2 separate regions of the Mus musculus genome follow, and region 2 is reported to be linked to region 1. The links are microRNA targets in miRTarBase. Many come from high-throughput screens and were not tested one by one. Region 1 holds a microRNA gene; the other region holds the end of a gene's coding sequence.
The links. The annotated mature microRNA mmu-miR-149-5p reads UCUGGCUCCGUGUCUUCACUCCC and lies in region 1 at 2,517-2,539, opposite strand. An mRNA with a match to its seed (bases 2 to 7 or 8) in the 3' UTR can be bound and repressed. Matches are read on the target gene's strand: a 7mer-m8 pairs with bases 2 to 8, a 7mer-A1 pairs with bases 2 to 7 and ends in A, and an 8mer does both.

Region 2: miRTarBase lists Nptn as a target of mmu-miR-149-5p. The part of its 3' UTR that is shown has no 7-base or 8-base seed match.

What each region holds. Positions count from the first base shown.
Region 1 is chr1:92,848,631-92,852,919 of GRCm38, reverse strand. It overlaps Mir149 (microRNA 149), which reads right to left and starts at 2,542; the gene lies at 2,477-2,542. All of the region lies in intron 1 of Gpc1 (glypican 1), which reads right to left. Gm29480 (predicted gene 29480) reads left to right here and starts at 4,123. Exons shown (of 4, transcript NR_166170.1): 1 at 4,123-4,219.
Region 2 is chr9:58,650,558-58,654,557 of GRCm38, reverse strand. It overlaps Nptn (neuroplastin), which reads right to left. Exons shown (of 9, transcript NM_001357751.1): 8 at 3,226-3,300; 9 at 1,679-2,699. The coding sequence ends at 3,240. Rec114 (REC114 meiotic recombination protein) reads left to right here. Exons shown (of 6, transcript NM_028598.1): 6 at 1,452-1,702. The coding sequence ends at 1,616. Among named protein-coding and RNA genes, the nearest start is that of Nptn, 70 kb to the right of the region's middle.

The DNA of each region.
Region 1 (4,289 bases):
GCCAGTCTCAGAGGCCACCTGACTGACAGCAGAGTGGAGTGCCCCATGAATGTTCTGCAGGGCCTGTGTCAGCATTCTGCAAGGGCCCTGGGTACCATTCTGGGGTGAAGAAAAGCATGCTCTGCGCAGGCACTGGGTCCCAAACAGAGGCCACTCAACCCTGGCCTGAGGTTCCCACTAGCTGGACACATTCCCAGTCCCCATAGTGTTCTGGCTGAAACTCCCTCCCCCGCCATCTATCCTGGGCTGGTGAGCTGACCTGTCAGCCCTTGGTGGCACTGCAGCAGTACCATTCAGGACAATATCAACTGCCACTTGCTGACAGAGGGTTGCTTTGGGCCTACAATTGGCCTCAAAGTGTCTACCATGGAGCCCTTACAGCACACACCTGAGAGTCTCCTGGCATCAGAAGAAAACCTCAATGGGAGAGGAAACCTTCTGCTAAGGCTATAGTGACACCAATTTACAGGGAATCTGAGGCTTGGAGACTGGCTTTTGTCCCAGTTGGGGGCTGAGCTACTCAGGACTGGGCCTATGCCTGACCCCACTCTGTTCTACTCCCTTCTCATAGGGTCACACTGCTGTCTCTGAGCCTAAAGACAGAGCCCTACAGTCCCTACAAGGGACTGGGTGGATCAAAAAGGCAGAGGCAGTGGCCCAGCCTTAGGTGAAAGGTCTGAGAAGAGGGAGCGGTCAGCAGGGATTCTAGAAGCTTCCCTCGTGCAGGAATGCTGATTTTGATGTTATGGGGAGCCAGTGAAATGCAGAGTTTCCAGAGCCCAGAGTAGGTGCCAGGGCTGGTACCTGGGCTTTATCCTTGCTGACGGGTTGATGGGAAAGGTGGGATGTGAAGAACTCCAGGATGTGATACTGCAGGCTGCCATCAGAGGTGGGGGACTGAGCCAGAGGGGAGTGGACATCTTGTCAAGAAGCATGTGGGGGCAGGAACCTGTGACCTCAGGATGAGGCCATTATGTGTTAGGCCCCATTTCTATGAACCCCCCTCCCCTGAAGCCAACTGGGAGTGGAGATCTCTGACTAAGGAGAGATTCTGAGGTTGCATTCACCCTTAAGAGCTTGTTACATGATCACATCCTTGTCTTTAGCACTTAGTAAGCACAAGCATTTATGTGTGCTGGATGGTGTGTGTGTGTGTGTGTGTGTGTGTGTGTGTGTGTGTGTGCATATTGCAGAGTGGAACTGTGTACAGCCTCTGTGATTTTGACCTGACATGGAAGGTATATATCCCCAGATGCCACCCCTCCATCCCTAGGTAGGGCAACCTTCAGATCTGCTCTTCCAGGTCTCAGGTTGAGGGCCTGGCCTAGCCCTTCTCCTGCTTACTAAGGCATGGGAGCTGTGCTTCATCCCAGAACCCTGGGGACTTTTGGCCTCACAGGCTGAGTCCCACCTGGTTTCAGGGTCCCCAAAGGTCCACAGAGCAGGGCAGTGGCTGACAGCTGGTAGAAGAACAGAAGGAATTGTATTCTGATTCAAGGGTGCTTGGGGGAGTCAAGAGAAAAGGGAGTCAGAGATGGGAGGTGCACACGGAATGCCCCTCCCACCACTCCCCTACCTGGTACCCTCTGCTCCTACCACACTGCTTCCTCCTGCCCAGGGCACCTGCCTTTCACAGGGACTGCAGGTCCTGGGAAGCAACATGTTATTAAGCACCCAACCTCAAGAAAGGGCTGGGTTGGTGCCCAGACAGCTGGGAGCTGCAAGCCTAGGTCCTGCCACTTGATCTGCATCCATTGATTGATTCCCTTCCTTCTAGAGTAGGGAGGGCTAAGCAGAGATTATCCACCCGCAAGCAGGCTACAGGCACAACAAGGTACAGGGCCCAGCAGGGCCTTCTATTTGCTCTGCTCCGGGCCATGGTCTGCTGGGCTGAGGTGATATGCCACATCTCTCTCTTTGAGTGGTGGGGTTTAAGGGTTTTTCTGTTAGAGGAGGAATCATGGGGGGCACTGTAGAGGATGACCCATCTCTGACTTCAGCAGTGAGTGGGGAAACAGCTATGGGGATGGAGGCTGCAGGTATCAGGATGGGGCCATCCTGGGCTCAGCTGGGACAGAGGCACTCTGTGTGTGTAGGCCAAAGGTTTTAGGTGGAAATATTGAGGACCAGGCTGCACAACAGAGCACTGGCAAGAGAGAGGTGGGCACAGCCTTACTGGCCCCTCCCATGGTTTCTGCTCCTCTGACATCCTTCTCCATCTTAGTGGTCCCAATTGCCACCCCTCACCACATAGACAGAAGAACGAAGCTGAAACAGGAAGAAGTTAATTAAGGACACACACTCAGAAACAGAAACTCGCCCCACTCCACGGCAGGTTCTGGATAAATGGGACCCATGAGACTTTTGGCCAGCTACTATGAGCATACCCCATCCAATGGCCTCCCCTGCAGCCCCCTGGCTCTGCCTGGCCACCTCACCCAGCCAGCCCGGTGACCTGCGCTGTTCCAGTTGCCCCAGCACCGCCCCCGTCCCTCCCTCCCTCCTCGGACAAACACGGGAGTGAAGACACGGAGCCAGAGCCTGGGCACTGGCCTGAGGGCCCCGGGCAGGCTGGGTCAGGCTGCCCAGAAGCCCATGCATTGGCAGACCTGCTTGCTGAGGGTCAAAGATAGAGGAGCTGAGACCCAGCCCAACTGGAACCATAGGTGCTCAACATCAGAACAGCTAAGGCAGGCTCTGCAAAGCTCTCTACACTTCCAGGAAAGCACTGGAGTACATACCCATCGTAGGAACGTCTCTCCGTTCTACCCTACCAGCAGCTTCCTCCTTGCCAGCCCTGAAGGTGGGTGGGAGTGGAGCGGCAGTATTGTTCCCCACTGACCCCGCCCATCTCTCTCAGAGTTGGTTTCATTTTTCCAGATCTTTCCCTCCTGGGTTTTTGGGGGGCACTACCCTCCCCTGGCACTCACAGGTTTTATTTGGGGAAGGGGGTTGTTTGTTAATGGCAGGTTTTCCCCACTTTAGTCCCTTTTCTAAGCCTTGTCCCCAACCCCAAAGCCTCTCAAATTCCAAGACCCCTGCTTCTTGTGACACTTAGCATGGCACCCCATTGCAGCAAACCCATGGGCAGCAACTGCTCATTTACCTCCTCCCAAATCTGGCTGCTTGCACCCCACCCCCGGCCCCCCACTATTCTCCAGAGCAGACAGCAGCTTGTGGCTTCCTACCTTTCAGGGTCACACCCTCCTGCCACCTGCTGACAGCTCCAGCTCCTGCTCCTCCCTCACAGAGGCAGCATCCCTCTTGGTCATCATCCACAGTCACCCCAGGACTTTAGCAGAGTCCAGCATCCTGATGCTACCCACAGACATCTCTGACCTGACCTCCCCTGACACTTCAGGGACCCAATGCCTTGAAACCCTCCACCTTCTGAAGATAATGCAGAGTCATGCTACCCCGCCTCTGGTCCATTCTTCTAGAAGCTTCCTGTGCTCACGGGGGAGATGCAGAGTGGAAAGCCCACTTCCCTCACGGCCCCTAAAACACTCCAGCTGGCACGGCTTGGGGGAGTGTAGGGGCATTCGGAGTATAATCTCTCAGCACCGCAGATAAGGGAGAGGCACAGGCTACACTCCCCTCCCCAGCTGCTGGCTCCTAGAGCAGGCCTTTCTGTTGACTGGTAGGTTAGAAGTAAACCAGCCCTCTGTGCTCCTGGGTTTTCCAGCCCCAGAGGCTGAGAGTCTCCAGGACGTGACAGCCTGGAGCAAATGGCCCAGCTTTCTGGGGGACTACTCACTGCCCAGGCTCCAGGGGCATTTTCCCATTGCTTGCTCCTGTTCCCCAACAAACCTGTCTAGTCCCCGGGGGTCACACCCGAAGGAAGACATTTCAACTCCATCTCTGAAATTGGAAAAGCATCAAGCACAATCCCCTCCCCGCCCCCACCTCACTCCCAATACTTTTCCACCCTCCTGGATGCCTTCATGATTCCCGAGCCCCTGCCTCCGGTTCACCCAAATGGCAACATCACCAAGAAGAACCTCCATCACGAACAGGGACCCCCTAACTGGGGGGCATCGGCTGCTGGCACTTCTATGGACTCGATGGGAGGGGTCATCTCCGGGCAGGCAAGGGCTCCTGCCAGCTGCCTCTCCAGCATCAGGCCAGGCCCTGGGCGAACAAAGCCTGGGCGACACCTGCAGCTCCGACCGACCGCTGCCTCCTCTGCAACGGGGATGGTTCTGTACAGCTGGAGCCGGTAAGATAAGCCGGAGCTGCAGATGCAGGCGCCTGCTCTGGCGCCGCAGTGAGGAGGGGGCGCTGGTGCA
Region 2 (4,000 bases), not on the chromosome of region 1:
GCACAGTTGTAACACAGGCCTGAAACCCTGAAAATTAGGAGGTGAACTGAGGCGGGTGATAAGTCAGAGAAAACTGTCTAGGCTAAATAATGAGATCCCATCTCAAAATAACCAAACTTGGACATTTATAACAAAAAGCGAAACAACCAAGGCCAATTGAAGGAGAATGCATTAATTGTAGTACATCTGCACAATAGAATATTTAATTTCAAAAAGAGGAATGAATTATAGGAACACTTAGTAATAATCCACATGAAGTGAAAGAAGCCAGAAGTACAGATGCTTCTCAACTCAATGTGGCTAAATCTGTATCAAATCATTCTAAGATGAAATATATTAAAAATGTTTTAAACCACCTACCTCTGGAACATTATAGCTTAGCAACATAACCGTGGAGTATAGACTTTGACCTTCAAGCCTGTGATAGGAGGCCAGAGGTTACCATGCAGCCAGCATCACCAGAGTAGAGCTCTCATGTTGCTCTCCAAGGAAAAGCCAATTTCTACTAATACATAATACTTTTATTTCACTGTCAAGTCAAAAAAAAAAAAAAATCAAAGGACTGACTCCTTAAAAAGGGACTGTACACTATGATTTATTGTAGAACATGACATTTTTGAAAAGGCAAAGTGAAGACTGAAGAAGAGAGTCATAGCTATCCAGTCCAGCCTTAAGAGTATGACAAGACTACAATCAACAACATGAGAGTTTTAGGACATCCTATATTCTTGACTATGGAAAAGTTTGCATGTCTCTGTCAAATTACTCAGATCACCACCATCAAACAAAACAAATGACTTTTGTCCTTCAGATGGCCAATTACAAAGACCAGCTCCTGCCACCCTAACCCTGTTTCTTTAGTTATGCTAAGGATCAAACCCTGCACTTCAGTCACACTAAGCAAGCATTCTGCCACTAAGCTACACCCCCAGGTAGTCAACCCATTTCTTCCATTCAGAATCCAGCTTCACATGAGGAATGCTATTACAATAATATTGTTATCCAGATCTCAACTTCAGATACATCAATGTTTCCTTAAAGATCCAAGTTTATCTCACTTTCTATGTATGTCCAGAAAATGTAGAGCTGGGCCCAGTGAGTAGTATCTGTCTATAATCCAGACATTTGGGATGCAGAAACAGGACCGTGGATTTGAGATTAACCTGTGTTTTTGGTTTGGGTGTTTTTGGTTTTTTTTAATTGGGGTTCAGGGCAGTGACAGAATGAGGAAGGGAGAAGGAAGGAGGGGAAGAATATAGCACTCAAGAGTGGGATAGAGGAAGGAAAGAAATTGTAGGCACAGAATTGTAAACGTGAAACCTAAGTATAGAAAAGGATTTTTCTAAAGACAGTAACATTTTATGTTGTTCTAAATTTTAAGGCAATGTTTTCTGTGTTAAATTATCTGGGATCAGGCAGTCAACCCCTCTGGTCTTTTGGCACCCCTGCAGTCTATCCTGGCGCCAGAGAAGCTGACCCTCGCCTATGAAGGCTCTTCATGGGGAACAGAAGAATTGGGACCTTTTCTACGCTTATGTCTCATGGATCAAAACTTCCCAGCATTTGTGGAAGAGGTGGAAAAGGAACTTAAAAAGATTACAGGGTTGAGAAACTAAAGCCCTGCACATGTATGCAACTAAGGAACTGAAGGTATTTGAATAAAGAGTATTATTCCAAGCACCTTTTATCAATGTTTTATTGTTAAAAACAGGTGAATCCACTTTTTTTGTACACCATTGCACTTCAATAATTACACAGAACACAAGTACATGCATCTACAGTTAGTACCGCATGAGAACCCAGTCAGGTTATAAAATCTATCATCAGTCATGAAATCAATGTGAAAATACAGTGTCAAACCAAAAGGTGTAACTAGAGTTGCATAGAATATCACCATGCTATTAACATTTCAGGGTCATTGAAAACAAATGGGAAATTATAAAAGTTGCCTTGATTGAATATACAAGAATAAGGTTTGACACATCAGTGCAAAAGATTTCAGAATTTACATGATTTGACAAGAGGAAAAATAGTCACTTAAAAAGCAATCAATCATACATATATACTGCAATTCATTCTAGCCGTTCAGTGGACTGTTCCAGGTTCCTAAAGTTATACGGTAAGCCCTTAGAATGCCAGACTTAAGTCTATACACTCTCATCAGTTTGTACCAGAACTGCAGCTTCCTCATCTGACGACAAATAATAAGGAATGAGTATCAGCAGCTTAAAATGAAACAAGCGTTGACTTTATTTTGGATTTCTCCCACCCCCAAAAATATAAATATATATATATATTTATATACTGTATATATCTGTAGGTTTTGCTGTACTTTACAAAATGATCACTAGATGGCAGCAGTGCGTTTAGAGCTTTGCCAATTTAACAGCTGCATAAGTAAAAAATGGCGCATGCATGATCTGATCCTCAGAGGACCTTTTCATTTCTATTTAAATATTTTTAACAAAGGGAGGGAAAGCAACATTCACAGCACATCAAGCCCAAAATAGTTTACACCTTCTACACTGAAGCATTGTTTAAAATGTACCTGGCTAGGTCACCCTTATAGGAGAGGCTAAATAAGGCATGCTTTAGACGGTCATTGTGGTGTTGCTCACTTGAAAGGGAGAGAGACCAAAGAGGTCCAAGCAGAAAACTTAGCAGGTCATGTTGCCATCGTTTTTCAGGAACCTAAAGAGCTGTAAAGAGAAGGATATCTGGAAATTAAAAGAATATACACTGTCACTCCATCACAACTATGTCAGTGCCACATCAGACACAGCTTTGGTTCAAACAGCATGCTCAGGGATGTGGTATGAAACTCTGATCTCCATGTGCCTCTAAGCATTCTGGCCCTGTTCCCTTATGGCCACATTTCTATCTTGCCTTCAGCAGAGATCACACAAAGTACTAACAGGCTTTTGGGTATAATCTGCCTAAGAAGTTAACTATTTTTTTTAACTCCTTCTAAAAAATATGTAAGTAGACTGCAATACAAGGAATTTAATATGAAATGAACCTAGTATAGTAAATATGTGGGTCAACAAAGCTGAAAGGCATTCCTTTCCATCCACTGCAGTGAACAGAAAGAACTTGTTAGTATCAGCTAGTCTGAAATTATAAAGTCTTCATGTAACACCAACTACTGAAGAATTTGTAGCAAGGTGAGCAGAAGCACAGTTCATTTGAATAGAACTTTTAAGTCTCCAAAGAAGGCATACTTACATTAAAAGCAGTACTTAATTTGTGTTTCTCTGGCGCAAGTTTTTATCTTTGTGATTGTTGGTAGAGTTGGTTTTCCTTTGGAGGAAAAAGTGGACTGTGTGAGGTCAACTAGTCACATTATTTGAAAAGGGTAACACATGGAAACAGACTCTTCACTTCTTCCATCCCTGGTGTAGCAGCAAACTCTACTCCTAAGAATGTATAACAATATTCTGCCTCCTGCTTTCAATTAATAGGTTCTTCGGACTCCCAAGGCAAACAACACACACACCTTAGATGTCTAAGCTATTAATTACTTAGAAAAGTGAGAGAGACTTACTCCTTTGAACACTAATTTCTTAACTGATAAAAGTAACCAGCAACTAGCCATGCTGAGCCCTCTGGCTTTTAACTTGTCAGCTACCAACTAGCTACCAACTACCCCTTCTCTTGCTTCCTATAATCTCCAACTCTAGGAACCCTGGCAACTTCATTCCACTCTTGGACATCAGCATTGTTAATGGAACTAGACCACTTAATTCTACAGTCCAGTTTGAAGCTAACTTATACTGCTTACTCCGATATTATTAGATTAAGCATGTCAAATACATACAATTTCAATTTCTTTTGCATACTATTTACTTCTAAGGCTAAAAACAAGATCTGGCCTAGAGATCAAAAGTCAGAATTATTTCAGGCTTTAAAAGTGTACATTGCAACTTTAATTGTAAGGGAATTGTCTTCTCATACAATCTTTAGTATTTCTTTTGACTAAACTGCAAACACAACACAATTC